Linked DNA regions of Coturnix japonica. The protein of the gene in region 2 purifies or fractionates together with the protein of the main gene of each other region. This does not show direct contact. Links are inferred from orthologs where the notes say so. Each region holds a gene or a part of one and is shown on either strand. Other genes may lie near its edges.

Evidence for each region.
Region 1: the proteins of BICD2 (region 2) and DYNC1I1 purify together in Homo sapiens (affinity purification with western blotting; 4 studies listed by BioGRID and IntAct, with this or other methods). This does not show direct contact. The link is inferred for Coturnix japonica from reciprocal best matches to the Homo sapiens genes BICD2 and DYNC1I1.

The regions. Positions count from the first base shown.
Region 1 is NC_029517.1:21,970,053-21,985,496, reverse strand, and holds part of DYNC1I1 (cytoplasmic dynein 1 intermediate chain 1), read right to left. Parts: intron 11,307-15,444; coding exon 11,160-11,306; intron 7,034-11,159; coding exon 6,920-7,033; intron 4,173-6,919; coding exon 4,039-4,172; intron 2,228-4,038; coding exon 2,083-2,227; intron 1-2,082. UniProt on the Homo sapiens protein: Acts as one of several non-catalytic accessory components of the cytoplasmic dynein 1 complex that are thought to be involved in linking dynein to cargos and to adapter proteins that regulate dynein function.
Region 2 is NC_029527.1:4,884,928-4,900,920, reverse strand, and holds the start of BICD2 (protein bicaudal D homolog 2), read left to right. Parts: upstream 1-5,583; coding exon 5,584-5,823; intron 5,824-15,993. UniProt on the Homo sapiens protein: Acts as an adapter protein linking the dynein motor complex to various cargos and converts dynein from a non-processive to a highly processive motor in the presence of dynactin.

The DNA.
Region 1 (15,444 bases), on a different chromosome or scaffold from region 2:
ACTTGTTCAGAGCCTCAGAGTAGTTCTGAACAACACAGAGACTAGCAGTGCAGCAGCCTAGAGCTGCTGTTGCTGCTCAGATCTGCTCCAGGAGAAACCAATGGAGCCAGTACAGCAATACTGTTTCCAGCTCACAGCAGTGCTGTGTTGTGTCACACGCACATCCCTGCCCCCATCGGTTAGGTCAAGTAGCTTTCTCAGGAAGTCCCTCTTGCCAGATGAGGTATTAAAAATTTAAATTGCTTGGTTCTTTGAAAACTGACTGTATTGAACAGCATCTGACCTAACTGTTTTGGCAATGAAGTATTCCACAAGGATTACCATGTACTGCTAACTGCAGTGTCTTTGTGTCCAAAATATGCTGTGTTAGTGCTGCCACTAACTTCCAAAAACCCAGGCATTCAAAATAAAAACCCAAGCCTTCTCATTCCTTAATACAATTTCCTTTATGCTGCAGAAGGATGAGACCCTTAGTGAGATATTCAGCCTCAAGCTGAGTGTCTGATACTTATGCCAAACTTTTCTGGACGTGTATATTTAGAATGCAGGTATTTCAGTACCTTCATTTCATTTTCCACCCAGTACCCACAAATTCTTTTCCTCTTACTTAACTTCAGCTTCAACCATCTGATACTCCCTTGCCACCAGTGCCACTGACCAGCACTCTCTTCTCTGAGACACCAGACTCACCAGCCTGAGCCAGCTCTCTATCACTGAGTTATCCCACAGCACTCTCTAACACTACCTAGGACTGACCCCAAACTCATCCCAACCTGCCCACGACCACCCTCCATTGTCAGTTCTGCATTAGGTTAAGGCTGGATCCACTGCTGTTTATGGAGAGAATCAGGTAAATCATGCACCCCTCCTCCTACCAAGTATGCAATGCTCAGAAACTGCAATACTCAAACAAAACTGTCAGCTGTGGTCATTGCTCATCATGCAAAGATACCTATTAATTAGCGTACACATCAGATCAAGCTATTAACAAATGCATTATGAAGCTACACAGAGGCTAATTCAAGCTATTATCTAGGTAACTGTGCTTCTATTTCCAGAACAAGGCGGCCACATGATTCCTTCTGATCACTTCTGTGTTTACATTTGCTGTGCATCTGTCTCAGCATCTCCAAGCCCTGATGAGTTTGAGGAACACACGCTGAGATATTTCCTGACTGGGGTCAATTTCCAGCACTGGAGCTCTGTCGGATACAGCTCAAGATGTGAACCAAACGCAGACACAAATAAATGATGAAGACAGAAGTCCGGTGCTTGGAATGTAGTTCTCTGCTCTGATGTAGGACAAAAATAACTGTTTAGATGACTTAAATGTTAGATATTTTACTTCTCCTATTCCACTCAGCCCGCACAATGAGGCTGGTCTACTTAAACTGTCATGCAGTTTGCGGTGACTCTGTCATTAGTCTATATTTATACATAGATGGAGTGTGGGTATTCAAAGCTCCGCAGGCCTGTGTGCTCTTTTCCACTGTTCACAGTGTTGTCCCTGTAAGAGGTGACATAGACACATCCACAGAGCAGTCAGCAACAAAAGTCACGAATGTACAAGCATGTATTTCCTCCCTGCTCCCAGCCATTGGTGTCTAATGTCACTGGGATGAGTTATACTTTCTGGCTACCACAGCCTCCTACAGCAATAATTTTCTTGAAGGATATTGACTGCACTGTAGTACATGTACCTCCCTGTTGCTTCATCAGAAGAAAGCGTTCCTGCTGTTGTACTGTCACAGTGCACAGTATTAGCCTCGCAATTCAGCCTGCACAAGGAGCGCTAGATGAATTCTGTGATGACTGCCACTACGATCCATTCTATTCTCCTTTCCTAGTGAAATTGCTCAACACTGGGGTTAATACTGAAGTGCAAGCCAGATGAAACTACCTTTATAGGGTAGGCTCCATGGCAAAGATGGCTGACGTAGTTGCACTGGGTGTTCATTTCACTTTAACACTACGCCTTTTCTAAGAACAGCCTTTCAGTGAATTGATTTCAAGTGAAACATTTCTGACAATGGCATTTTCACAAGTAGCATTACCCATCACATCCCAGCTCGTTTTCCTCACCTTTGTGGTCCACAGCTTCACTGTCCAGTCAAATGATGACGTGACAAAGAGATGGGAAAAGTCAATTGAGCCCACTGCCATGTGGCAATTGATTCCTGTGACAGGTCCTTGGTGGCCTTCAAAAATTTCACCAATGCCAGCTTTGCTGCAGGAGGAAGAGACATCTACATTCAGAATGTGAGTAACGTGGTGTTTTAACATCATTTTCTTTTCCTCTTAGAATCCTGTTTTCTTTTAAAGCTCCATTTAACCTGCAAAGCAGTCTCCCTTCAGCAAGGCCTTTGCCTGCAGCAGCTCACTGCTCTGGGCACTCTTAGTGCTCAGGATCCAGCACTGAGAGACAGCTCTTTTTCCTTCTGAAGACACGCATTACTGACTTCTATATACACTGTCTACTACTATAGCTTGAAATAACATGTATGTATAATTATAAAGTAATTAGAAATTATAATTACACTACATCTTATACATCTGAGTACACTATTATTACGAGGAATAACCATTAAAATAAAAATGCAAAGATGCTAATGACATATCATTTGCAATTCTTCTTTGCTCGAATATTTAAAATAACTCTGCACAGCAGTCAGTCATGTCCCTGGGAAGAAAATCCTTCTTCACAAAATGTGAAGGGACTGCTCACATGATGGGGTATCAAAGTCATTATTGTGAGCATGGGAAGGTGTGCATATCGTCAGAGTGAGGCTAGAATAGGAAGGAAAAGCACAAATCTGGGTAAGAAAGAAAGCGGGCAGCTTTGCTCATCCTGTAAGCAAATGATGCCAAATCTGTTGTCCTTCTCTTGTGAGGAACAAACCAGGCACATCTGAAAGATCAGATGTGAGAAATGCCCTTGGGCGTGCTCCATTTATCCCAGCAGCCAAAAACTAATTCAGACCAGCAGCCACAACCTATCAGGATAATGCCTAAACAGACACAGCACTGCAATACTGTCAGCAGGGTAAAGTAAAAAATACTTTTAAATAAAAATAATTCTGAAGAAAATGTATGTAAAACTGTGACTATACAATATGAAGAATGTGTAATAGAAGTCTTACAATCTTAAACCACTGCTAAACCACTGCCAGTGTGTATTTGGTCCCTGAAACAAGGGCTGTGGTAACATATGAATCTGAAGACCACTGAAGTGGGAGGTCAGCTTTAGATCTATCAGTGAAATAGCCTGCTCTTTACAGAAGCCACTCAAGCATCCCAGAGGATGAAACTGCTACCAGAAGCTGAGAGCACGCAAGCACCCTGCAGATCACTGTAGCAAACACAAGGAATTGATCTCTGCAGAGGCCTGTGGTGAGAGCTCCTTGTTTTTGACTGCAGCCTTAGAAAGTTTACAGGGTGCAAAATCAGGAACTTGTTTAAATTATGGAACTGAATTTGCACTTTCCTAGCTTTAGAAGTGGAGAAATCAGTGTTTAGCCATACAGCACTCAGACCCTTGTTGTGCTTTCTTTTCTTTGCTATCTGCTTGTAGAGACTGAAGATGAAGCTGAAAATGGTAAAGAAAATAAAGCAGATTACCCTTTCTTCCAAGTGGCTTACGTCTGACTACCCCGCAACAAAGGTTTCTCCTAGGGCCTGGTACAACCTGCCCCAACACAGAAATCTACACCTCAGCCAGCACTTGAGGCTTCCCTTAGAATCAGGGCGGAGAAAGAGGCATTTCCAGGATGCCAGTCATCCCTTCTTGAAGTGGAAAAGGCAAGAGAAGTCACACCTTCCAGCAGTTACTGCTCCCTGCTGACTGCACAGGGAGGTTGGCCAAGCACTGCAGTGCATGGCAGTAACACACACGCATGAAGCTGGGCAGTTCCCACCCTAGTCCCGTCCCAGCACAGATCCTGCTCATCCAAGGGACAAAAAGCTAAGCACACTCCACACACGTGGCTACCTCATGCCAATACAGATGATGTTACAGAAGTACATAAAGCTTAAAGTCACCTTCCATGACGACAGGCTGTGTAGACTGTTCCCTCTTCACTGCCAACAACGAAGTTATTGACATCTCCAGTTGGGAAAGCCATTCCTGTAACTGCCACTGGTTTGGACTTGTTGTACACCAGCTCCATGCTCTCCTGTCGAAATAGATCTTTGTTATTACTCTGTAGCTGTCCTTTTGTTTGGCTTGTTTGTGGATGTTGTTTTTGTTTTGCTGATTCATTTCTAAATGTTATACAGAGTACCAAGAAAGGAAGGAGGAATCATCTGATCCAGTCACAGGATTTAGGGTTCTGTTTTGGGCAATGGAAGAAGATGCAATGTCACAATCAGGATGCACGGCTCCTGCCATCCCTGATGCTGTGTCAGACACTTCAGAGTGGCTGCAACATCATCTTTAATCAGGCAGAGATGACAGGTGAGAATTTAAAATCTAATGGCGCAGAAACTAAAGATAACACCTTAATGGCTATACTTGCCAGCCCCAGGCTCTAATAAAAAATACCCTTCTACTTACAAACATTGTCTAAAATCAGTTGTTTGTCAGGAAACACATGTAATATCACATGCACCTGAGGCGTCTATCAGACAGTGACATTTGTCCCTCTGCAGAACAACATTCAGAAGTCAGTGTCATATCATTCTTGCTATCCTAAACATTGTTTTTCAGAGATTTTCTGAACTAATCATAAATATTTTCTCTGGATCCCACCATCGAGCTACAAACCAGCAAGCAGATTTTCATCTTCTAGCCATATTTCAAAGTAAATCAGCATACTCGTTTTTGTACATCTCGAATACAACCAGCGTGAGCAGCCTGTGGCGGCTACATGATGCGTATGCTGCTACACGACGCATATGCTTTAAGCAGATTTTGCACAACTCTAACCTTTTTGGTTGTGCAGCCTAAATGGTGTAACCCAAGAATCCCACAAAAGGCCTGAATGATTTAGTAATTTTCATTTTCAGCTCTTTAAGTGTGTGTGCTTTCTACATTTAAATGCCCAGGCTGCTATTCTTCTCGAGCTAAAGATTACAGCATTTTTATCAGGAGGGATTTTTGCTGTAGCTGAAGAAAGTGAGCGTCCCTATGGGAGGAGAGGGCTGCAAATCCATAGAGAAATACTTCTGCTTGATTTATATTTTTCTTTCACATATATTTGCTTCTATTAACAAGGAAAAATAAGACCTGGAAAATGCATTGGCAGAGCACCTGTGGACCATATATTTCTACAAAAATCTTCAGGGGTGAGATCATTGTTTAGTGTCCTTAGATATGGCCAGATACTGTGGCAGAATCTCCTTCAAAGCCTACACCATGGCTGTATATGAGTGCTCTGGATCTGTGTCTTTGGAAAGTTTCAAGCTAATGCAAATCAGCAATACTGCTCTGCTCAGTTTAAAGCTATGGCGTGTAGCTTGACATCAAGCCCCGTGTCCTTTTCAAGATAACTGTGAGCCATACACTGAATTTCAGTGTGACATGGGATGCATTCCCATCCTTGTTGAAAGTCAGTTTTGAATCTGGGAAATTCCATCTGAATGATGAAATTCTGGAACTGAAATGTTCACAAATATCTGCTGGAAAATTCAGTATTCCACTAAGTAAACACACAAGGATTTATCTTCCCTACATTTAAGTGAAAAATAGGGCAAAGGATTCAGGTTCCTAAACACAGATGTCTGGGCCATTTTAGATGCCTCTTCTTCATTTCCAGAACTGCAGCAGTTTTTCATAGTCCCCAGACACAACTACCAGACCCATAATGTATATGAGGAGCATGAAGAACACAATCAAACTTTGAAGTTGGCCTCACTATCAGTAAGAGGTTAGATGGGATGAGTTCCAGAAGTAGCTTACATCCTAAGATGTAAGTCCAGTGCCGTACCCTAGAATATCTAAAGTGGTATCTCATGCTGGGATGGATTGAGTTGTCCTCTAGAAGTGCTGGTCTCTCTCTAAATTAACTGTAAAAGGAACTCAAATGATCAGCTTGGACTTGACAGGGACCTTTAGATGGCTAAGGAGGGGAGGAGTCCCACATCTTGTGTCAACACTGAAAAGCAAATAACTCAAGAGTAATTGCACATTAATGCATTATTAATGGATAATTAAAGGAATCATTAAAAGCAGTTCCTATTCAGCATTTTCATGATCAGATCCTATGATGTTTAATAAAACAGTGATATGCTGGAACAGGAAATATACAAATGTACTACTCTGAAAGATAACACTTTCCATAGGGCCTCCTCAGCACCAGATTCTTTGTTTAGTTTCCATTATTATAATCACAAGTGGTTTGGACAATTTTCTTGGACTTCCTTTCAGTCCTGATACAAAGGGGGGTAGGAGGGGGAAGGGAAAACAATAGCAACAAACATTCCAGAGCGGGAAAAGGGGGGGGGGGGAGTTAGCTCTAAAACATTTGATTTGCATTGTGTTTTTTTTCCTTTTAAATACTGGAAGCAGGCAACAAAGTGAGCTTTCAGACTTTGTGCCTTGGAAACCCATAGTGCCTAGGGTGTGTTCAGTGGCAGTGCAATCTAGTCCATATTTGTTAAACAACACTGTAGAGTAAGTACAATTTATACCACAGGCAACTTCTGTAATTACCATGCTTTAAAATGGATTATTTCATTTTCACTTGAAACTGACCTATGTATTAACGTATTATAATAATTATATGATTTGTGGTAAAGGAAATGGGTTTTGGCTCTTAGCAGAGACTGCTGGAAGCAAGCTGTATTCTTTCAAGTGCATCCACTGGTTTTAGTTTGTATAAGATGTGAGGTTTTGGCTTTTAGGAGCTATGTTCCATTAAGCAGGTATCCATCCTCCTTTGCTGAAGGTGATTTTCTCTTGTATAGGTAAAAACAAACCCACCTGTGGAGTTGAGAGCATGTCCAGGCTCCAGGAGCACATTTTGCCATCCGTGGAGACAGTGATGAGATTGTGTGCATTCTGTGTTCCAACTACATTGACACAATACACCGGATGCTGCAAACACATTAACACTGGAAGTCAGAGAGACATTCTCACATCCTCAAAACACATTTCTAACATCTCGTATCTTATTGTAAAGAATGATTAAGTAGTCACATAATGTCTGGAAAATACAGGACCAGGCTTTTGCCATGTAGGACTTCAACTTCTTTTTTTAATTTCAATTCTAAGAGGCGTGTTATGGACATGGAAGTGTTTTTAATGTTTCATTTTCCTCATCATAAAACAACTCAGCTGGGTAATGCTGTGAAAATGCTGAATTATGTGGATGGGATTTCACCCACAGGGACATGTATCATTCTACTGATGGCTTTCAGCACTGAAAATAACTGGCAGAAAGAGGCAAACCATCCAAATGGAATCAAAATGAAAACTTTATTGAAGAAAACAGCTGTGTAAAACTTGAACTCTCCCAGAATTTGGCTTGCATGCTAAATATTTGCAAATGTACTTCAACAGAAAAATGAAAACTAGTCTGTCATTGTTCTCTGGTATTGGACAATATACCTTTTTAGATCTGTCACTAGAATTGTGGAGTGACTAAATTCAGGGTGTTACACCTGATTCCTCATAGCGTGGTCAGTCAAAGGCTGAATTCCACTTAGCATGCAGTAATCAAATTCAGTCTGCTCATTTTCCAAGAAACCTGCTAACATTTTCAGCCTGAAGTGTCATCTGATATGTGATGGTGACATATGAGGGTGGTTCAAGTTCAGCAGTCTCCACAGTGAATGATCAATCAGACCGAGCAATGAGATTTAATTTTCTTTGACCACTACAAGTAATAATGCTTAATTAGAATAAGACATACACACAAGTCAACCAAAGACAAACTGTAATTCCCTGCCTGTTGTACAGATGAGACTTGTGTCTCTAAGAAGAAAACATGCTTTTCCCAAATAATTTCCTTATTCACTGAAAATCAGGACAAAGCTTAGAAGAGATGTCTTACAGTTTCTAATCCAATTCCACATAGGGTTAGAAACCTGCCGTTTTCTCCTACTGAAATGAATGACAGAAACGGCAGTTATTTAGATTCCCTGACGATCCAGCTGCAGTTCAGCTATGTAGTGAGCAGTGAAAGGCAGAGCTGGCACTGTCTAGCTCTCAGGTTTGACACCACAGCAGGCCCAATAAATGCCCCTGGCTCTAATTGCAAGCAGGGTGGAATTTGAACACACAGTGTTTGCACACTGCACCAAAGATGGACTTATTAGCAATTGCTCCCAAAATGGTGCTTTTGCTTAGAGGCCACCTGTACTAAGGGCACTAAATTGCAAGGTCTCCTCTAGTGTTGATTTCTCTCTATCTCAAGACTGTCATATGAACTGTTTCCCCCCGCCATCATCAAATGGAAATCAGATAATGTGCGGGACCCCAGTCTATCCCTAACATGTTTCTCATGCTATTACCCTCCTACAATGAACCTTCATGCTCCTCAGTGGTGAACTAATTACCACATTGCTAAATATGATTAGCACATAATGATGTGCAAAATAAACACAGTCCTATTTTTTAATGGGTGTTTGACCTCCAGAAGGCCAAAGGGATGAGGACAGAGGTGACAGGGAGCTAATGCAGCCAGTGGAGTGGCTACAATATTTAGGGGGAAGGGAGAGAGGCAGCCACGTCCTTCCAGCAGCACCTCTGTGTGCCAGGTCTGGCTTTAATCAGGGTTGCCAACCATCAATTTCATGCACGATAAAATTCACAGCAAAAATGAAAAGGAAAAAGGAAAATGGATGGAAAAGACAACCAACTGTATGCAACAGAAAGTCTTAACAGGCTCCTTCCTCTCAAAGAGTTGCTGCCAGCTTGTTTTTATTTATTTTGGAAATGAAATCATCATGCAAAAGGGTTTTGTCTTAATTAAAATTTCCTGTTGTCCCAAGTGCAGATGTGCGGTGGGTGTGAAAGGAAATTAGTGAATAAGCTGTGGGTAGAACTGTCTTTCCTGGTGAATCCAAGCAGCAATCAGTGAGACTAAACTTAAGGAAGGTTTAAGTTGGTGATGACAACATACTTTCTTTGTTTCAAATAAACAGAGTGAGGGAACAAAAAGAGAAAAATCCTTTTTTTTTCCCCACATATGGCATAAGTTCAAATTAAAACTGGCAATTCAACTCACTTAACTAGCAGTGCACAAATATTGCCACACTAGAGTTAACTTAAACCTTTCAAGCCAGCCTTTTGCAGCCAAGACTTCATTTACGGTTTAGGTAAGTGATTCATAAATATGAACAAAAATAAGTAGTCTTTTATTGTAAAATCTGATCACTCCTTAAAAACACAATGCTTCCTCATGCTGGACTGTACAAACACTTATTTATACCAATCTGCAACAGCACATAAAGTGCACATCCACAACAGAAAGTCATTTATTTTTATTTGTCAAAACTTCATATATTGTTCTATATAATAATACTATTTTAATATATAATTCCAGGAGGTACAATTTTGTCTTAGACATTTTTGAATGTAAACAAATTACTTCCCATTAATCTTTTCTTTTCCACTAGATTTTGAGTCCCAGTTGTTCAATTTGCAGCGATAGTTTCTTGCCATTAGTTTTCTGGTCTACTACATCTCTAAATTGCACTTCCAGGAGAGACTGTTCCCTTTCATGCAGATTGAACACCGCTACTGGTGATAAAATGAGCAAAAAAAACATTAGGGAAATGGAAAGCAATGTTGAAGTTGCAACCCATGGCACAGATCATTAAATTATTACATCAACATTCATGATAGTGGAAATTTATGGAACAATATTTGTACTGCCTGGCCTGCTAAGCATGTCTGTGCACACCTGTCATTTCTTAATATGAGAGACATGCCTTCATAACACTGGACCTGCACTGAATCTTTAATTCATATGACGTGGCTTTTAAACATTGCCTCTTAACTCCAGGGATTATGTTGTCTCAGCTGAACCTTGATCTGCAAATTACAAATATAAGAATCACAGAACTGCAGATGCTGGATGTACAAATGGCCAATCACATTGTCTGATCCCTCTTTCTGATAGAACAAGATTACTAACTTTCAGACTGCTTTGTGTAGTTCACTCTCTTATGTTTGAGGAAATCCTGCAGATTTTTCTGTACTTTTATTTTATTACATCTTTCTCCTCTTTTAAGCATCTGTTTTCCACTTCCCACACAGAAATGGCCCCAAGCTCAGCCCCAAGACAACTTACCCTTACAACCCACAGAGTAAACCTTCCAGCTTGTATGAAGAGGCTCTCTGAGCCTAAACTCTCCAGGAGGAGAGCTCAAGGATGCTCAGCATCTCAGAGCAGAGTGGGGCTAAGGTCAGCCCTACTACAGATTGTAGGCAATATAGGCTTATCTCTTCCTCTAGCACAATATGGGTACTTTGCAGTGTACGAACATCTTCTACCACAGACATTATCTTTGGAGTATGGAGAAACTCAAATATTTTGTACTGCTCTGCCTGTTTATCTCCTAGACATCACCAGAGCCCTTTGTGCAATCATCATTATATCTGCAGGTACCTTTGTGTGTCATCAAAATGCATTTCCATAGCATTCTGTTGAAACAAACTCCTCCTCACTCTACAAGCTGTGCTCTATGGTCTTGTCTGGAGTAGGAGGCCAGAAAAGGGATTTAAAAATTTCTCTGCTGTAAAACAGAAGCAGTTGCCCCACACTTTTAAAAGCACAAGTGTCTACTTAGCAGAATTCTGCTAGATCACTGCAGGTGCTTAATCTGTTTCAAGAGACAAACTCTTGCACAAGTAGTCAACAATCGATGATTCAAATTGCCTGCATGTTTGACTGACAGACACGTAGTCCCTACAGTAACCTGACTCTCTCTAAAGGCAACAGAGAGCAAGAATCACATAGGTGACTCATTTGAGTGTTTTAGCTGCTCCTGTCGTCTTCATCATAAAGGAGGACAACCTCCTGACCTGCCCATATGAAGTGTAACGGCTTAACACAGGAGGTGGTTGTACACCTCTGTCACTTGCTTCTTTCTTTTCAAGGGCCGTGCTTATGTTTTATCCATTTAACAACCAGCACTGCAGACAGGACTAGGCAGCTTCACTTATCTGCTGACTATTTCCTCTAAGGAAAGGAAGAGGCGACTTTTGTCCTTACCGTGTGAGCAGCAGCAGACAAGGGAGTTCTCTGAACAGGAGTTCGTCTGTGGCTGCGATTATCCCACAAGACAATTTGGCCAGAATATGTTCCACCAACAACCAGGTTTGGGTGAAAGCGGGCAAAACAGACAGACATCACAGAGGACTGGAGTAAAACAGGTAGAGAAGAGGAGAGAGGGGTTATTTTCATCAGTCATGTTCAGTTCTCCTTCTGCTGCAGTTATCATTTTGAATTTTAGATGGGTGTGACCATTATTCACATTCCTTAAATATCAGTAGTATTCTGCTAAAGCCAATAGGAGCCAATTCTGATCCTAAAATGAGTAATTCCTTTGGTCCTAAGGAAAATATGAACCATAAGATAAGTCTTAGAACAATGCTAAGTACCTCTCCATGACAGTGATGTGAAAGTGATAAATTTCCTTTTCAATAATGAGGACTTCAAGCAACCAATTATCAATCCAACTAGCTCACTATCCCCAGCAGGGATACTGCTTCCCATATTGCTCTTCTAACACATAACTCTCCAATAATTTCAGATGAGTTTGTGAGAGGCCATCCAAAGTGCGCCTCTAGGTGTGCTGCCTTGAGAACACTGCCTGATGAGCAGCGTCTTGTTGAATCAATGACTGAGTTCTCTGCTACAGAAAGATCTTTTGCTAGTAACAGAGGGACTCACACTTTCCTTTACACAGTTTCAGCAGAAGCAGTTCTTCATCTCTGTAATGACAGCTGGGTTGTGTTTGTACATTTTCTTTAAACCGGGAATGCTGAGGAGCCAGACTGGTATAACACTTGCCTTGGCCATCTGGGAGACTACTCCACAGGACAGCATGGAGAGTGTCTGCCCCAGTTGCCTCCTTCAAGTCTCTTTAAAATACCATACAACATCTGAAGTCCTCAAGGGAACAATCTCCAGAACCTTTAACTGCCAATGAGCTACAGCCAAGAGCAACAATCTGTTACTCCTTCAAGGTCCCCCATTCTCTTTTCAAGGAATTCTTTCCCATTTTTATTCAATTGATCCTGGATGTCTTCTCTGTTTCATGCAAATTGGAAAGTAAAAGTTACAGTATTTGCATAATTTCCTGAGAGTTCACATATTAAAAAAGGCAGTTTGCAAACAGAAGCAAATGTCGTTTTTCCATAGCTGTTTCAGTGATGCTTACAAGCCACAGAGTGAGATTTTAACTTCTATTGCAATTGCAGAAAGTTAACTTCTCTGTTAATGGGCACATTTTTAAAATCTCATTTTCCAATCATTTCCAACCAGCTTTGGTAACAAATCTTTATTGTATTTTAATGACTGGACCTTTTGAAATGGTGATACGCCTATACGTGAATCCATTTAATAGAGTGACAAAGGGTTAACTATATTAATATATTTCAGCTGCATAAAAAAATACTGCAGGCATTTAAGTAAACTTTGTTGAACTGAGAATACAGGAGCTGGCAAACTGAACTAGACCCAGTGTCTGCTTAGCTGAGGATTCTGTCTCTGGCAGAGGTGGCTGGAGTTATAAAAACTTTGACGTGGGCAGATGTGTGGTCATCTTGCCTTACTATGCCTTGTCATGATTTCTAGCAGCTAGAGACTGGTTTCAGCTCATACACCAGAGATTTAATAACTTTTCCAATAGGATTGGAATTAATTATGCCAACTCTTGATGTTTCTAACTAGGTTAATAAGAATACAGGAAAATGTGCTGTTTAAATAGCTTTTACTGAATTCATGTGGCTGACTGATATCCGTTGTTTCAAGCCAGATTTTTTTTTTCTTTCTAAAATAACCTAGTAGAAATACATCATACAGCAATGTATTCAACCCTGTATTTTTGACTCAATGAGGCCAAAAATAATAGAACTGCCAGGATGATGAAATAAGTTGCTACTACCTTTTTCTTTCCTATTCTCTCTGAATTTTCAGGGGTATTCATTTGGTATCTCCAATCCCTTTCTCTAGTAAAGCTTTTCATACATTTGTCCGATGTTATGTAGACTAATGTCTAGTGACCAGATGATTCATATATATAATTGTTTATTTCAGCCCTTATCTATCTAAGCACTTAAGAACAGTAATCATACTATGGTCATAAGAATGCTAGTTCCCAAGCATCATTTCCAAAGGACGTATTTTATAGATAAGAAAAAAACACCTTTGAGTAACAGTATTTTGGAACTGCTTAAAAGTGATCTAAAACTCAACTACAACGCTGCTGCCATCCAGTTTCCACAGATCCCCCATACATTATAATTAAAATGACCCTACAGCACATGTTCTACATTTTATCTCTTTGCTTAATGGCTTCATGAGTTGTTTTAATCAACCCTGCTCATTCCTTATAACTAAGCTGACAGATATTCTTACATGAAGTCAAATACCCATATGATTCTAAAATAGTACAGCTACACCGCTCTGTACATCCCACAGCAGCTACAAGGCTTCGTATGTATTTTAAGAAACCCCAATTCAAACAGTCATTCCACAACAAAGTTCTCAGTTTGTCTGAAACAAACTTGGGAGACTCTGAAGCCAGGCAAAGAAGCCAAGTGGACAGTATTTTTAAATGCCATGTTTTCATGGTTAGAATGTTTTTGAGTTCAGAATCCCAGAATACAGCTGAATGGTCAGGATGTAAACTGCTAAAGTGTGTTTTTCATAAAGCTCAAAAATAACCTACAGACATGACATGGACTTGAGCCCTCTGCGCTGCTCCTGGTTTTACGTGTCATTCCAAAGTAACTCGCATTCATCAACTGATGAAATATTCACACTCTTTTAATTCTGTCAGTATTACTTTTCTACCGAGGAAGAACTTCTGTAAAATATTAGAATTTAACAATTTCAGGAATCCACTCCATAGCACTTAATAAAGTGATTATTTTCTTAAAGAAGTTAATGTCAGCACTCAGAAAAGTAAGGGCAGTAAGATCCAGCCCATTCATTTAAGAACTTTAAAAGCATTAATTTCTTAGTCTTAATGGGGAGAAAGCAGCAGACAGGTCTCCAGTCTGTCTGAACAGCTCTGTGCACAAGGAGAGCAACAGAAACCATTCCCCGTAAGCCTCTTCTGCCTCCGGGCTGCATCTTGGTTGCAGATTCAAGTAGTCTTGCTCCCTCAAAACAGACTTTTGCAGCTGACTTCAAAGAAGCAGGAACCAGCACGTGGTTGGGTTTTAAAACAACTGTGTATCCTTCTTTGTGCTTCTCCCACATCTTTCTAGGGAAATCTTGCAGCACGTTCCAGTAATGATAGTAGTTTCCCCAGTTTTTCCATTGTGTATATTTTACCTGCCCTATGCTCTGTGCACAGAGGACAGAAGCAGCTAGTTTCACAGTATATGCTCACAGTACATAGATAAATTTCACATCAGAAGTAAATTTCCTGGGGAGTTTTGTAACCACAGAGTAAAAGCAGCATGTAGAATAGGGGATGAACAGTGTCATCTTTTCCTAGGCACCACAGAACACCTGTGTCTGCAAGTCGTCAGCACCTTCAGGAGGCAAACAACCCCCAGTGCTTGGTCACCTGCATTTTTCCAGATTCTCTGTGCTGTGAATCACACTGAGGTTCGAAACTGTGATTTCAGAAACAAAGCAAAACATGGCTTTGCTCTTGTCTCGGCAAAGAGAAAAATAAATGTTGTCCAGCCCTTCAAGACTCCTACAGTTCTGGTGACCTGTGCTCGTGGCAGTCTTGCCCTGTGTGGAAAGAAGTGCTGTAGAGGGGACGGAGTGGTGGCTTTGTTCAGCCGCCATCATCCCCTCCCTCCATGCCAATGCACTCAATTCAAACAGGCCCCAAGCCCTCTTCAAGTGGTTGGCAGAGCTGGTTTTTATTTTAGAAGCTTAATCCAGCCCAGATTTGGATTAATGATGGCATATCCCTTCAACCACAGATACACATGCTTAGGACAGACACTCATTTAGATTTTCCTTACTGAGAAGCCTGACCTCAGTACCCACATCTGATGTGTGCAAGGCCCCAGAGACTCAGCTGTCTGTGCTCATGTCCATAGATTCAGATGGCACTCTGCCCAGCCACCAGTTGAACAAGTTCACAAAGACCTGGGTGCTAAACAATAATGACTTTAAATAGCCAACAACTACTGCATTCAGCAAGATCTCTTCTGCAGGAAACCACCCCCGTAGGCAGCGCTGCCATACTGGTGCCATATGCCTGCACTTGACACCAGATGGATCTCCAAACAATACTTTGTCAGTGGGAAGAAGTGATCGGAGGAGTTCACAGGCATTTCTAGCCTCCAAAATACTAGGTTAT
Region 2 (15,993 bases):
AGATAACCAGGATGCAGTGTCCAAACAAGTGAGCTGTTGGTGGGAAGCACCTTGAGTTACTGCTCAGTTCTTTAGGCCAGACCATATACATGGTGGGTGCAAAAGCGGGGCATGCTACGCTGTGCAGAAGGGAAAGGAGACACCTGTTCTTCTCCAGAGAATCATCATCCAACTAGTGCAGAGAACAGAGGATTTATCATGTGAGACCTTAACAAAACAAAACTTGATTTTCATTTCTGAAACAAGAAAGTGTATTGTAGAGATGAGAAGAGGAAATCGTGATTTGTGGACCTCCTCTAGCTGAGTGAGTTGTGACTACCTGCCAACCTCCAAGTGCATTCCACATACCCAGTACATTACAGGTACGTGTGTCTACATTTGCTGGGTTTACTCTAGATTGTTGGCTGCCATTGACTGGACATCCAGCATTAGGGTGGAAACTCAACACATAAAGCACCCAGCATACAGAGCCAGCTACAGAAATTGATGCATACTTCTGTGTGAAAGGTGTTATAGTTTATAGTTGTTACGTGGCTACCACAGAGATATCGAGCTATATAAATAGTAGTTATCTACATCAAATATTAAGATTATCCTTGCATAGTTTTGTGAACCATATCTGAAGGCTGTTACACAAATGTTGAGCATTCCTTTCAGCAGTTTGTTTTCTGTGCTTTTTTACATGGGTCTGACTCACATTTTCCACCACAGACAAAATCTACTTACTGGCCACTCTCAAAAACAAATTTCCTATATGGCCGGAGGGATTCTTTCATGCTCTTAGGGAAGCATAACCCTTACAAATATGTACCATATAAAAAACATACAGGATGTGCTCTGAAGAGCGCAGAGTCAGCACCAAAACAATAAAAAGTCAGTCCAGCAGTGACACTTCATTTGCCCCTGCTATGTAATAGAAGAATGCACACCAGGTTATACAATTTCCTTTTGGCCAGATTAGCTGTAAGTTATATGCCACGATGAAGTTGACTTAATGTGCTTTTATCTGGTTATGTTGCACTCGAAGAGAGTATCCCCTTCTTTACTGGACTAAAAATAGTAAAGCAATATAAAACACTTCTCCAGCCACGCTGGCTCCTATCACGAAGCATGATCCTGCAGACAACTTAGGGAAGGAATTTTACTCCTGTGAATAAGGATCTTTGAAGTGATACAAATGAACGACTGTTAGCAGAAGTTGGCCTGCGGTTTTCTCAGTCATTGCTGGGGTCTGAGACAGATACTGCTGGTCGAGACCCTGCTTTCTTTAGTCTGAACTTGGGCTGAGCAGGGAAGGCTGGGAATGCAAGGAGAGCTCAGGGAGACTGGAATGAAGCAGGAGGTGCAAGAGCAAAATACATCGATGAGATACCAATAAATGATGTGCTCTTAAAAGCTAATGGCCACAATGACTTCAAGACCACAGTGCAGCTATTTTCCCTGAACTAAGAGGGTGTATCTTTTTTCAAGCATAATTACTGACAGATCTGGAACACACATGAGATGTTTATGTGTCACTAGGCTTAAATGGAATCAGGAGAATGTTACATTCTGGGCATCAGATGTGATGTGGATTTTCATTTACAGTAACACTTCGCTAGCAGACTTCTCTGTAAAGATGGGCTGGGATTACCATTTGAATTCATTACCACCTATAAGAACAGCTGCTATTCTGTTCAAGTATAGAACCATTAGCATTCATTCCATTTGTGCTACATAGAGTGTCATTACCTGTATAATACTGTGAGTTTGCTTCATAACGGGCCTCTGTTCTGCAGATACCCAGCAGGCAGTTTGTAATTCAGACGCATATATCCGTATATTATTATCCGTAAATAGACATAAAAAACCCCCAAAGGCTAAGGTACAAATCTATTTATTTCTAACCATACGTATCAAATAGGAACCTACTATTTACAATATTCAATCCACATGATAATATTTCCAAACATTTGGACCCTGTCTCAATTAGCAGGTGCAGAAATTGTCCATAATAACACATATTGCTTGGATAAAACATGTTAGTTATATTTCAAACAGCTCTTCTGGAATTCCAGCTATTAGAAATTAATGGGAAAAAAAAATATAGAGAGAGAGAGCAGATGTCAGTGAATTCCTAAAATACATCAGTGGAAGCAGCATTTCATAACTGAAACACCTACCTGCCTGTTCCATAACTCTTAGCTCTGTGCTGAAAGCATTGGTTAATTTAGTGCTGGATCACACCCTGTCTTCTTTGTGATGCAGTCAGGGAGCTGCCTGTGCTGCAGCTATTTCCATGCGTGCTGTGATCTCTGCCTGCCTCCACCAAGAAGCTGCTTCCTCTGTCCAAAAGGAAATAACTTCTGATTTTTATTTAAACTTGATCTTCTTGTAATTGATGCTTATATAACGTCCTAGAAGAAAGCGGCAATGAGCTCAGACTTTCTGTGAATTATTTAGTTGATGAGGTTTTTAATTAATGCAATTAAGTCCACAGATTTTTTTCCTTTATCTGACCTAGAGATTTGGTAAGGAGGAATGCTGTGTTTAGGAAAAAGAAGAAAAATGAGTAGAGAAGGAACTGCAGTCATTTTGCACCTTGCTTATCTACCTAGCAGTGCAGTGCAGCTTGTCTCAGCAGGAGATGTAACTTAGAGTATGGCTTTGATAACAGGGGGAAAGTGCTCTGCTTTAAGGTGTGTGTGCCACTGAATGACACTAAGTCATTCACAATAGATCGAGTTCGGTCTGAGACCCGAGGTGCACAGAAGTGTGTTCACTTAGTAGAGAGAAAGAGTTGAAAGTGACTTTCACGTGAGCCTTGTCTTGAATTGGAAGCAGATCTGATGCAATCCCTGGGCTCTGGGGCAGTAATCTGAGACTTGCTCTGTGTCAGGAAAACTGGCATTGCCAGGAAGATATTCTAGCAGTGAAGAAATGACTTGATTGCAGAAATGCTTCCTAGCTCTTTTTCCTAGATAAGCACTTGAGGAAAAATGATGGAGAGAGAGGTGCCTATACCAGAGCTGGGGCACAAGGCAGGGGTGGCCTAGGTGTTCTTCAGCAGCACCAAATCTGCTGTGACCCATTGGTGTTATCACTGCATCCACTCTGGGGCCAACACACTGATTTTACACATGGTACATAAATTTGGTGTAATTCAGCTAAATGTGATGAAGGTTCTGCCGCTTCTGACTGCAGCCAAAAGCAAGATCCATCTGTGCTTGTCTCCTTCCAGAGCTTATGAGATATACACAAATGTCTTTTCTCATGCTGGTAGAAGTAGAAATATTTCTTATGCATAGAAAAGCAAATCTATGCCAGCCAAGTCCATACTGCATACAGTATTTCTCCTTCATGAGCGACCACCAGAACCTGAGACCCTCTCAAGTTACAACATGAAGATGGAGGGGAAAAGAGAAATAGCACTGCAGTGTTGGTTTTTTTCTGTTGTAGTTATACCAGTACATGACTGAGTGGATTCTTGTTTTGCTTCAGTTTAAACATGTGCCTGGATGATTTATCTTAAAGAAAATGGGTTTGGCTTAAATCCAGACACAGGTGTGTTTACTTCATCAAGAGAGACGGAGCAATGGCAGCTCATTTACTGCTTGTCAATCAGGCATACAGACGTGGTTTAAAAGGGAAGGTTTTCCTCCAGACAGGCAGTGAGGTGAAACACAAACATGGTCCTTTCCCACAGGTGAGTTGGGAAGAGATAGAGTAGCTGTTTGGGCTGATGTAGGCACAGACCTACAGGCCTGGTAAAGTAAGAGCTACGCCTCATGGTCATGAGAAGCTGTAGGTGGTTGTGAGGGGTGGTTCAGGCTTGCAGTAAAAGAAGAAAAAGTGAAACATTTTGGGGAAAAAAATCTCCCTTCCTCTCAGGCTTGTTCCATCATGGCAGAATAAGGAAGTAAACTGAGCATCTGGTCCCTGCTACACCTGGCAGATGGTGTGCCAGACATGTCGTTACTTGGACCCTCCATCCATCCCTCCTCTTCAGCTCCCAGCAAAAGTCCAGCACTGATAGGCCTGGGCATCTCAACACTTGGGTCAGGCAGCAGGCAGTGTGTGTGTGCTGTGCTCCCCACACCCAGCCAAGGAATTCTATCAAATCTTGAAAGCTAAGTCGCATTTTTTTCTCCTTATGCTGAGACATCCTAAGAATTCCATTTTGCGATAAGCATCTGTAATTCCTCTGCTTGTTCCCTGCATGCACACATTCCCTCCGGCAGCTTTCTGCCAGCAGTTCACCTGCTTCTCAGCTTATCAGCTGCCAGTGAATATCTGAAGCTTTCAGTCACTTTCAGGTTCTTGTTTTGAAATGTCTTTTGGTTAAGAAAGGTCATCACTGCACCACATATGAACATTGATCCATGTCCCAGAGTATTTTCTTTTTTTGCTAAAGTCATTTTTTTTCATAAATAGAAAATGGGAAGAATTAGGAGATAATGGTAATTTGTTACTAGTCCATACACAAAGCTTGTGGACAGGCTGAATTGTGACCAGCCTTGTATGATTGTCTGTGATCATCACCCACCTCAGGAAACAACCTGAGATGTTATTCCCATTCTTCCCTACCTCCTGCACAGCCTTCCTTCATCGGCATCTTTGCACTGATGGAATTTAGAGACAGTGAACTGATAATGAATATAACTGATAATGAAATAGGCTGTGACCTCTGGCTGCACCCAGAGGAGGCCATGGGCACAGGCCGGGCTGTGCTCATTCAGTCATTACAGATTTTTGTTACGCTACATCATTACCTTGAATGATCACAAGAGCCTCCGCTTTGACAACCTGCTCTTCTTCCTGGGCTGGTCAGAAATAATTTTGTAACAGTGATATTTACAGTTAATGCTGGATGTCTTGAGCAGTTTAGAACAATAGCAAAGAGTGAAACCTACTGCCAAACCTTGGCTTTACTTTTCACTGGTGATGAGGGGAAATAGCCTCAGGTTGCACCAGGAGAGGTTTAGGTTGGATAAGAATGAGTTGTTACAAGCAAATTACAGCTTCTGAGGAAGGACAAAAAGCTGGGTCCTGATTTGAGTCCTGATTTGATTTGAGTCCTGATTTACAGCGTAAAGCCTGAGCACAATGAGGGCTGAGAATATACGAGGCAGAAGAAAAACCCAGTGTTTATTATGAATGTAGAGGGGTGATGTGAGGCCTTCAGCCCCCCGCTCCAGTCGCAGCCCAACAGGGCGCGGCCGCTCCGAGCCCTGCAGAGGCCGCTCTGCTCCGCTCCTCTCTACCCCACCTCCCCACCCCGCGGGCGGTGCATTATGGGTAACGTAGTCCTGCGAGCTGCTCTCCCAGCGGGGTGGCATCACCATCCGGACTACATCTCCCAGCGTGCATCGCGACGCCGGGCCGGCCGTTCCCTTTGAATGATTTCACTGCGGTCGGCGCTCACAAGGCGAGTTTGGCGGCGGTGGCGGCGTCGTGCGAGGGGCGGCTCCGCAGCGCTCACACCGTGGATGGCCGCCACAGGGGGGACCGTGGCCGGGATCGGGCCGAGGCGTTGTTAGTGAGCGGGGTAAGGGGGCCGCTCGATTCGCCTTTCCGGCTGCGGTGCCCCCCAGCACCGCCGACATGTCGCTGGGTATGGAGGAGGAGGAGTACGCCCGGCTGGTGATGGAGTCGGAACCCGAGTGGCTGAGGAATGAGATCAAGAGGCTTTTCCAAGAGCTGGGTGAGACCACACGAGAGAAGATTCAAGCGGCGGAATATGGGTTGGCTGTGCTGGAGGAGAAGCAGCAGCTGAAGCAGCAATACGAGGAGCTGGAGCTGGAGTATGAGACCATCCGTGCCGAGATGGAGCAGCTGAAGGAGGTGAGGACGGCGGGGAGGGACGGGCCTGAGCCCTGAGCTTGGGGCCCTGACAACACGCGTTTTTCTTATACAAAATCATCGCTGCCTCAAGCACAGCCCATGCTGGGGGTGGTTGTGCCTTGTCCGGACCTGCAGGCACCCTCTTAGTGCTCCCTATGGGGGGCCGCTCATTGCCCATATAGCGCATCCCGTGGGACTCACTTGGCTGCTCCTGCTCCGGTTATTTTGGTGACTGTTTCTATGCAGGCAAACCATGCGCTGCTTTTGAGCTGATGTAGGCCTTGCCTTGTTTGCAAAGGATCTGATGCTGCTTAAAATGTAGACGTGTGTGGTTGTATTTGGTCAATGTGATCCATGTGCTGTCGGTCTTTGGTGTTGCTGGTGTGGGTTGGATGTGGATTTGAAGTAACATCAAAATACACTGTGTCAAAGGGAAAGTAAACGCAAATGGATTTGTATCAATTCAGCTGAACCTGTGAACGCCCTCACTTCCTGCATCCTGTGTGTCGGATGGACTCTGTTTAACATCATAAAAGCAAAATAAGCATAAGCAGAGGAGGTGAATTGTTTTGAATTAAATGTTTGTGCTCTTACTAACCAAATGCAGGCTGAACCTCCCTGTTCATTGCAAGGGAGTTGGATTAGATGACCCTTAGAGGTCCCTTCCAACTCAAATGGTTCTGTGGTTCTCTGGTTAATGCTACTTGGAACTGACTTGATTCTGGCAGTGCAAATACTGGAAGGAACAAATGTGTTGGCATCGTGAGCCCTTGGAAGTAGAGTTGCTACACAAAAGATAAGGGAGTCAGAAACAGTCCTGGGAAGAAGGAGCAATAGGGTTTTGCCAAAGGGAGAAGAAAATCAGCAAACCCATTGGTAGGTGGGATGAGACAACATGGGGAAGGTGAGGAGACTGGTGTGACCTCACTGAGCTGGAGCCTGAATGTGGGGCAGTGCCAGGGTGGCTCAGTCACAGGTGACACCTTGGTTGGCTGTGGGCCTCATGAATTTAGTCCTTCAGGTGGGAAATGTCTGGAAGGCAGCTGCTGCTTGTTCTTTTAGAGCTACAACAACATCTCAGAGGCTCGAAGAGATTTGGGAACAACAAAAAAAAAGCAAAAACCAAAAAGAAAAAAGAAAATAGCAGGATGAGCAATGATTCATTCTTTGCTTTGTGTGTGCATGTCCTGTTGTAATTAAGTCAAAACCTGGGAGGCAAACAATTCTGGGAACAATCTGAGGTCTCTATAGTTGTACAACACAAGGCAGAACATTGCTCCTCTTGCTTCCCTGTGATGCTGGGGAGGAATCTGGTCTTCATTAGAACTTGTAAACCTTCGGCAGATGCATGAAGCATGTTGTCACAGGAGGAGTTTATCTTTGCTGTTTATATAACTTCTTGCTTTTCCCAAGCACGTTGGGAGGCATTTTGCATACAGGACTTGCCATATAGCAAGGTGCAGTTTGAAGAGGTTGCACCTTAGGTTACATTGTATTGTTCCTGGGGAAGGCAGGGGAATTGCTGCCAGGAAGAGGGGTGCTTTCTTTTTCTTGCTTCTCAACTTGGACTTCATGCAGCCTTTTTAGAATACAGACATTGCAGTCTCCTTAAATCTTGTTCTGTTCCTCTCCGCTACATCTAGAGACATCAATAGCATAAAGCCATGTCATGCACAGACACACAGCAAAATTTCCTGTCTTGCTTGGTGTTGTAAATTTGGATATACTTTAATTTGTTTAATGTTATGAAGCATCCCATATCGCGGCCCTGTTCATTCCATAGGTAAATGGGCTCTGAGCGTGGGAACTTCCTAATAGAGGCTGTTGAAAGTACAGGCTTTTCTGCTGCAACTGTCAGATCTTGCACAACTTTCCGGCCAGCTTCTCCCTTGTGCTCCTTTATCTGTGATTGTGGCAGAATTTCCTACCTGTAACCCCCACAGTTTTATCCCTTTGATGAGTGTACGTGCCATCCTTAGAGCTGGACCCTGTTTTGCAAACCCACCTGTGTGTACACAATATCTGCCATTCGGATCATCCTGGTGGTAGTGGGGGCTGTCCTGCCATTGCACTGAGGCTCCATCTCATCAAACCCTTCAGTTGGAGTCCTTGGAGAACTGTAGACTTTACCCCAGATTTGTCCTATCTGTTCACATGCTGGTTTGCATCTTGTACCTCTCAGGGTAATTGTGCCACATTTTTTCTGTTGTTTCCATTTGAGACACATAGACTGAAGTAGAAATTGTCTCCCCAGGTGAACCTGCTGGTTATTTCACTTCCATGCTTATTTTTGTGAAATGAAATTGATTTCAAACCTTACTGAACGTTATGGTTTAGAAATGCATTGTTTTTTTATCTCAAGTTACATGAATTAGCTCCTGACTCTCAGTGAAATACTACATCATGTTGTATGTTGATGCTTTCGGTTGTTATTTGTCTCCTCTAGGAGGTGAAGTGATAAAGAGTTGTTTCTATAGGCTGTGTTCAGCTAAGAAATCATCCTGTGAGCCTTTGTCTGTGGGGATGCTAATATAGGGCTGCCAACCTGCCTGAGCCAAGGTTGCTGTACGGGAATTCACTTATTGGCATCCTGATGATTTGTAGGACAACGTGGCTTGGAAGGTTAGCTTGAAAAAGAGCTTGTCTGCTTTGCTTAGTACTTTTGAGTTGCTTTTGAGATGCCAGTTAGATTTACAGCTCACTGTTTGGTTAGATATGAAACTGGCTGCTGTCCAAAGCTACTTTCAAATTAGATGGTTATGCAGTATTGGTGATGGTAGACTTGTATTTAAGTCCCTCAGAATGCAGGGGCATGATTATGTTATGCATTATTTATTTCTGTAATAACGTAAAAGTGTGTAAGTAGACTGTGGCTGTCCTGAGATTCTAAAAGCATGCATCAGTACATCACAGTTAATGCCAAGGCCTTCTTTGTTGTGTATGTTTTAAGGGGATGGGTGGAAAGCTTACAAAGGCAAAGAGCATCAGTACAACTGGGGTCCTACTTTTTTCTCTCATACTACTTGGGCTTCATCAAAATATAGCCTGCCTTTCTTTAGTTTCCTAACACCTTTTTCTGTTGTGTGTGATGACTTGAAGTTGTGCTCTTCAGAAAGCAGCAAATGTAGCTTATATCAAAAGCAGATGCTTGGTAGGAGTGTTATGTAGCTGTCAGAATGTCCAAGTGTACTGTGATAAGCAAGCCAATGCAAAGGTATCATCAGCATTGAATGCTTCAGAAGGGTGTTGCAAACAGTGTTTTGTTCTGTTCTTATGGGGAGGAGAAGACAAAGGAAGCATGTTAACCAAATCATTGGTTAACATAAAATATTCTTTGGAGATGACAAAGGAATGCCTGGAGAGAAAGCAGTGAGCTGTACGTGACTGTTCATTTCTCTGTAGGGTGGCAGTAGCTCTTGTTACTGTTCTTTGCCTTTAAGGATCGTGTATTGACTTTGTTCCATGACACAAACTCTAGGGCTCCTGGATAGGCTTAGAAGCTGTCTCCAAAAGAAGCATGCAAATGAAATCTTGAGCGGCCTCATTTCTCATTAAGATGAAGTGGGGCATATTCTGCAACGGCGGCGATACGTGCCCAGGCTGCAATATTTGTGCAGCTTATTTGAATGTATTGCTTGACTGCAGTGTGCAGTATCTGTGATCACTCAGGGTGGTTGTTCTGCTTTGGTTAATTCACCTACATACATAACAGTGAATGGGATACGTGATACTTGATCCATACTGTTTTAACACTTTAACAGTGTATATTCAAAAGTGAAGGAGAAATAATTATTTTTCCCACTGGAAAAAAAAAAAAAAAAAAAGCAGTATAGCCTACAGACAGACATACAAGATAATTATCGGGTTTATTGACAGCATTTTACCTACTGTGTTGCTGCACTGCTATGCTCATTTACTGTATTGGAACAAAGGGGAAGGAAAGAAATGGTTGGGATTGAGTAGTAACAAGCCAGTGGTAGGCTGGGATTCAGTCTTCTGTGCATACAGAGCAACACCTGCTTGACTAGGCCTTTCCATGATAGATGACAATGGTCAGCAGCAATACTTCTATGGCCATGGGCACATCTCTGCAGCTTCCTCCTGCCAAATATTCAGTGGTTATATCGATCCATGTTGAAAAGGAAGGACCTTAACGTTACATCCAGCCATCTGTTCAAACAAAAGGAGGTAGCGTGTAAAATACACGTGTGATTTCTTTTTGTTTTGTTCTCCCAAACTGACCCTGATAGGCTGACCGTAATTCCGTCTGTCTGCATGTAAATGTGCAATAAAGTACAAGTTGTTGGGGAGCTCATTGTCAGTTTTGAACATCCTGATGGAAAACAGGTAACACACGAGCGAACTTGTGGCTTTTGTGGCTGTTATTACTTGGACATATTCTAACAGCTGCTTACTTGAAATGGAAGGAGAGACCAGAATTGCTGTCTCTGCTGTGTAGTTGGACAAACCTGTGGTTGTTGAGGTAAGCAAGGTACACCCATGGAAACCAAACTCCTTCTATTTTGATCGATAACAGTTGGTTTGCATTAAGAATACAGCCACCTGGCATTGTAATCTGATTGCTGGAGCACTGTGGGCATTTGCTGCTGTGTTTTGGAAAAGATCCCTTTCTTACATATTACCAAAACAAAGCCTGGGAAGTTGAACATTCCAGTTTTTCCCGCTGTACCATCAATGAGCAACCTGTACAGCTTTGTGTTTTCAGCTGCTTTTTCTTTGCTGGTGCTGCTTGATTTGCTCCTGTTGAAAGCTTGAAGTGATTTGCTCATGAAAATTCCCATCTCCTCCTTGTGCTTTCTGCTGTAAAATACAGGACGTGCTGCTTTATATAGAGCATCAACTAATGGTTGGGTGAATAGTTGAGAACTCTGAATGGAATTACATTTAAAAAAGCTTGTTACAGAAGTAGCGGCTTTGCTGTAGTTCCTGTAGGCTCAGCTGAGAGCTGGGCCTTGATGAACTGCGAAACTCATGTTTGTGATGCTTGTCTGTGCCTTGGCCAAGAACGAGGGCTGTCCCTGACCATCCAGCAAACATTTGTTTGTTTTGAACTGTCTGCAATCGATGAAATCCAAGGTTTCACGAGACAAAAGCTTGGCAGCAGCAATCCCATCTGCTATTTTGTCCCTGGAAGAGCGGCAACATTTGGCATTAGCAGTGCTGGTGGAGGGCATGTGCTGAGCTGCACTCAGGAACTGAGGCACATCAGAGCTGAGGCTCTGCAGATTTGGGGCCGATTTGCAATGGGCTCAGGGCTGCTGAGTGGCTCCGCTAAGGGCTTGGATGAACCCAAGGGGGTTCTGATGGGCGCTGCTGCTTGAGCGGGGCTGTATGTGCTGTCATCTCTTTTGTACCAGCGGAAGTTTGTTCATCCCCGCTGTGTCAGACCTCCCGCCTGCTGCTGGGAGCCTCCAACCCACTCACAGCATTTTGCTTCATAGCGGTTTTCTTGAAACCGCTGCGGCGATCCCTGCAGTCGGCCCATTTCAAATCGCAGCTCCTGCTTCCCATCCCAAACCCTGCTGGAACAAACTCACTAGTTTCAGGGGTGTTAATACCTAATTTATCCCTTTGAGTTGAAGAACATATTTCTTCTAATCTGAAAGAAAATTCTAATGATTTGGAAAATTGCCTGTTTTCCCTGGGAGGGGGCGAGGGGTGGGAACAGCAGTTATAGGGCTGTGCGCTGCCGGGAGTTAATGGATTCACCATTTCCTCTTTCTCTCTACTGTATGTGAGGTTGTGACTAATCTGTAGCAGTGTGGGGCCATAAGATGACTTCCAGAGGGTGATTCATCCTCCAGGCATTCATTTGCTCTCTTTCTCTGCATTTGGCAGACTGCAGGGAATGGTTTGTTCAGATCTGTAACTGAGCAACTGTGGAATATAGCATGAGTTTGAAAGATGATCCACAAAACCTTAGCAGGGGGGAAATGACATAAATAAATGTTGCCATCTAAATGAATGCAGGAGCCTCCATTTCAGAGAGTAGCTGGGTTTAGGTCTAATTGCTGAGAACTCGGACTTCATATTTTCCTCTCATTCCAGACACTTCCTTACTCATATCCATCCTGTGCTCTTCCTCCACTCTGTTCTCCCCCATTGTCTGCCTTACCCTCTGGGACACCCCTGTGGATGCTGCCCCTGCACCCTTTCCAGGATGAGCCTGGGGGATGGCTGGCATTCAGAGCTGTCCCCTGCCCTGAAGCAGACAGGCTCGTTTCTGGAGCTCAGGAGGAGCAGTGAACTGGAGTCCTGCTCATTTACAGAAAACTGTGCTCAGCTCTGTGTGCTGAGTGCCAGCCTATGAGCTGAACCGGGAATTTGGACCCTCTCCCAGCTGGATCCGGCTTCTCCTCAGCCCGTGCCGTATTTGGTGCTTGGGGCTGGGGAGCAGCCGTGCCATATTAGGGCCTACCCAGCTTGTGCAGAAAGAGCAGCATGTCCTGTGATGCAGTGCATGGCCCTGTGGTGTGCTGCAGCCCTTTGTCTGTAATCTTTTTTGTTACCCTTTAATCGGTGCCAGCATGCAGCCTGCGTTGTACTGTGCTTGTGGAACAGTGCAGTGCTTGTGGAGCAGCACAGCCGAGTGCTTTGCTGTGGGTAGTGATGAGTTGTTGCAGGAGATTCATTTGGAGTCTGTCTGCATGTCCTGCCATGCAGTGCTGAGCAGTTGGCCATGTTGGTTAGCTCCGGTTTCTAAGCAAGAAAGTGTATTGACTTGATGGAGGGCTAACCTTATTTTTCTGATACAGACACTATCTAAGCAGACATTTGAACTGCCCTCTCACCTGCCCACATCAGCCAGGTTTTATTTCTTCCTATGCACAGAGATTTTGTTACATTGATTTTTTATTTATTTATTTTTTTTAGTCTCTTTTTGAGGTCAGTGCTCCACCATCTATGGTTCAATCTTTGACATTTCCCATTGCAGAAGTCCATTTTGCACATTTGGTCCTGATTTTCATCCTGTCACTCAGCAGTGTGAAGATATTCTCCCACAACTCACAGCTGTGCTGGTAGCACAGGGCTTTAAAAACACAATTGGCATTTTGAATACAGCAACATTTTTAGTGTGACCAATGTGTAAGAAAATACAAGCCTTTGTCCACCCTCAGTGCCTTAAGAAGGCTTTGACCTGGCCTTGTCCTCCAGAAAAATACCCTGGTTTTCTTTTCTCCCAATGACAATGGAGTGATAAGCTTTGTAATCTTAAATAGATCTGGGTGCTCCAGCCTTTGCCAGCCAGCTTTCCTTCCTGACAATATGGATGGTAGTTTTAAAATCTGAATGGTTGCTTGGCTTCTGAGATGAATGAGATCCTGTCATGTAAAAATCTGTCTCCTGTGTACGTAACAAGCCTGGTGCCAAAGTGGGATCTTTAGCATACTGTGTAGCTACATAAAATCCACATCTAAATAGCGCAAATGAATTAACTTCAAGTGCACGAAAAGCAGAACGTGGTGTTAAATTGGATAATATCCTCTTGCTAAGCCAGGTTTATTTAGCATGGCTTGTGTGTCTGTGAGGAGCTTTTCTTTTTCTGATGGAGGAATAAAAAATAAGATAAAGAAGATTGCAGCTTGGAGCATTGCACTGCATTTATTTTTAGTTTTCTGACACAATTTCTTTTCATCTATATTTTGAATAAGAATTTTATTTTGAATCCAGACTTCTTGGATCATTGTGTCATTGATTCAATCCATAATCACTCTGGCAAACATTCCAGTCTGCTTGTGTTAGGACATGATGGTTGTTTCCCTCCTGGCATTTCTGCAATCAGAGCTGATTCAAATGGGCACAAAGTCACTCATCTCTCCCCTCATGTCAACTGCAAAAATCACATTGAGACAACGAGAGCACAATTGTTATTCATTTTTCCTAATGTTATTAGTAGGATCTCTCCAACATCGATTATACAGTTGTGACAAGATCCTCTGGGACCTCAGTGAGATTAGAGGCCATTCCAGTAGGACTGAATCACAGGTGAGTTAAGAAAGCATTGTTAGAAAAGCCCTATGGAGCAAGAGGGAAGTATTGGCACACAGAGGACCTCTTTTCTGCCATGTGCTGGGCTTGTACTGGATGTGCAGACCAGGTCTGTGCACTTACTTGTGTAGGAAACCTACACAAGAGGGAATACTTGGTGTAGTTTGGAAACAGTTTTCCTTAGGCAGTACCTTGCTTTGTGTGCTGAATATATATTGGCAGTATTGCCAGAGTTAAATGACAAAATGCCAGGAATTGTGCCTATTTAAATATTTATATATGCCTATAGTCTTTTTGGAGATCAGTATAGGGGCAGTAATTCGCTTGGTTTGTTTCTCAGTGCAGCTATAAAGGCTAGAAATTCCCTGAGCTACCCCAGCATTTTCTCCTTTTATCTGGAATAGGAAAAATTCCTCAACTCCAGTAGCTGGGATCTAAGTGCCAGATAGTTTAAAACCTCTGTTACTCCTAATATAGTTCTGTGTTTGCATGTATGAAGTGTTAACTGAGCATCTAACCTTGTACAGATGTTTCCAATCTTAAACCCCTAACAAACACATATGCAACGTTGTATCCTGAACTCTGTAGCTGCTTTGAGTTTAACATGGGGGAAGGATTGTGGTTTCGAAGAGCCTATGTTGCAATGTATCCAAAAACAGCATAAAGGTATAGGCTGCGCTGTGGTCTAATTTCTTACAGCATGAGAGATTTAATGGGAACCCAGACAGACGCTGCAATCTAATGACCAGGATGGCAGTGACCTTTCTGCCTTGCCAACAGGGAAATGGTGTGAGTGTGTTTCCTTGGGGTCGTGCCTTGGTGTTTGGTGGGAGAGCAGTGCTGCAGCATGGAAGCTCAGAGAGACACCCTCAGGAATACTCGGATTTTGTTCTACCATCGCAGCATCAGATTTTTGTCTTGTTTTTCTCCCTCCTTTATTTTAAATGGGTTGGGAATGTTTTAACGGGCAGGAAGTGGGAATGGCTGTTCTGAGAACACAGCTGTTTTAAATAAATTTAAACCAGTGGAAGAGCGGTGAACTCTCTCCTTTTGGAAACAGCCAAAGGCCTCCTGGCACAGGAGTAGGTTCTTTGCTTTTTGAAACAGCAAACTTCATTTTTAAACCGTCCTCTTGCATCCTCAGTTTACAGCATCACGAGTTTCCTTACTGTGTCACTGAGTCTGTTAACAATGTTTTCCTCATTAAATTTGCAAGAAAGTAAGCTGAAGGGATTTTAGATTTTATGCTTTACTGCTGGAGTTTAATCTTGGATTAAAATTCATTCCTTCTTTAATTCTGCTTAGAGATTGAATTCCTAATTCTCTTCACCCTCGTGAGAAAGGAAATGCACCCTGAAATTCCAAAAATCTATTTCCAAGCAAAGCTTAACACACTTCATTCTTGATAAAAACAGCCTTAAATACAGCCCAAAAGATGAACACCTTCTCTGCTGTTTGTGGCACAGTGCAGGACATTGAGCACCAAACAGATAGACCTGACTAAAATAACACGATTTGTTGAATTGTGTTAAGGCATCTATTGGAACACATCAGACCTAATCATCGTGAATGCATGTTTCCCATAGCACGCAACTAGCACAACATAGATTTTTGTTTTATATGTGAAGTTCATGAAGGATAGATGTATTTTTGAGCACCTTGTGGAAGGAGGTGGACACCTCCCTGGCTGTTACTCACTTCTGTATGTACATGTGCACACATTTTCCCCCTCTGGCCTTTCACTTTGCATGTTGTGTATGAAAGAGCTGTGCTCTTACTTGACTTGGAACAGAGAAGGGGTGATCTGAGCTGGACGCTGTATGGGTGGCAGGCGGCTCTGTCCCTGCTCCTCACACCCACATGTAACGAGGAGAAGCTGCAGCCAGCTCCAGCTGCCTTCATCTTAGGTCATCTGTTCCTTTCTAAGCCCATGGGGGTTTGGATTTGTTTTTTATTATTGTTGATTGTGAAATCACTGAAGTTGGAGAGCGGAGTACCTTATATAACCCTTAAAAAGTTTCCCCTTGCTCTTCTCATGAAGGATTTGTACAGAAAGATCTTCAAAAGTGAAAGTGTACCATGCCAACATTGCCACATGTAGTAGCATATACACCACTGGCTTAGGAAATGCTGAGCTGTGTTCTGGGCTGCTCTGAGGCA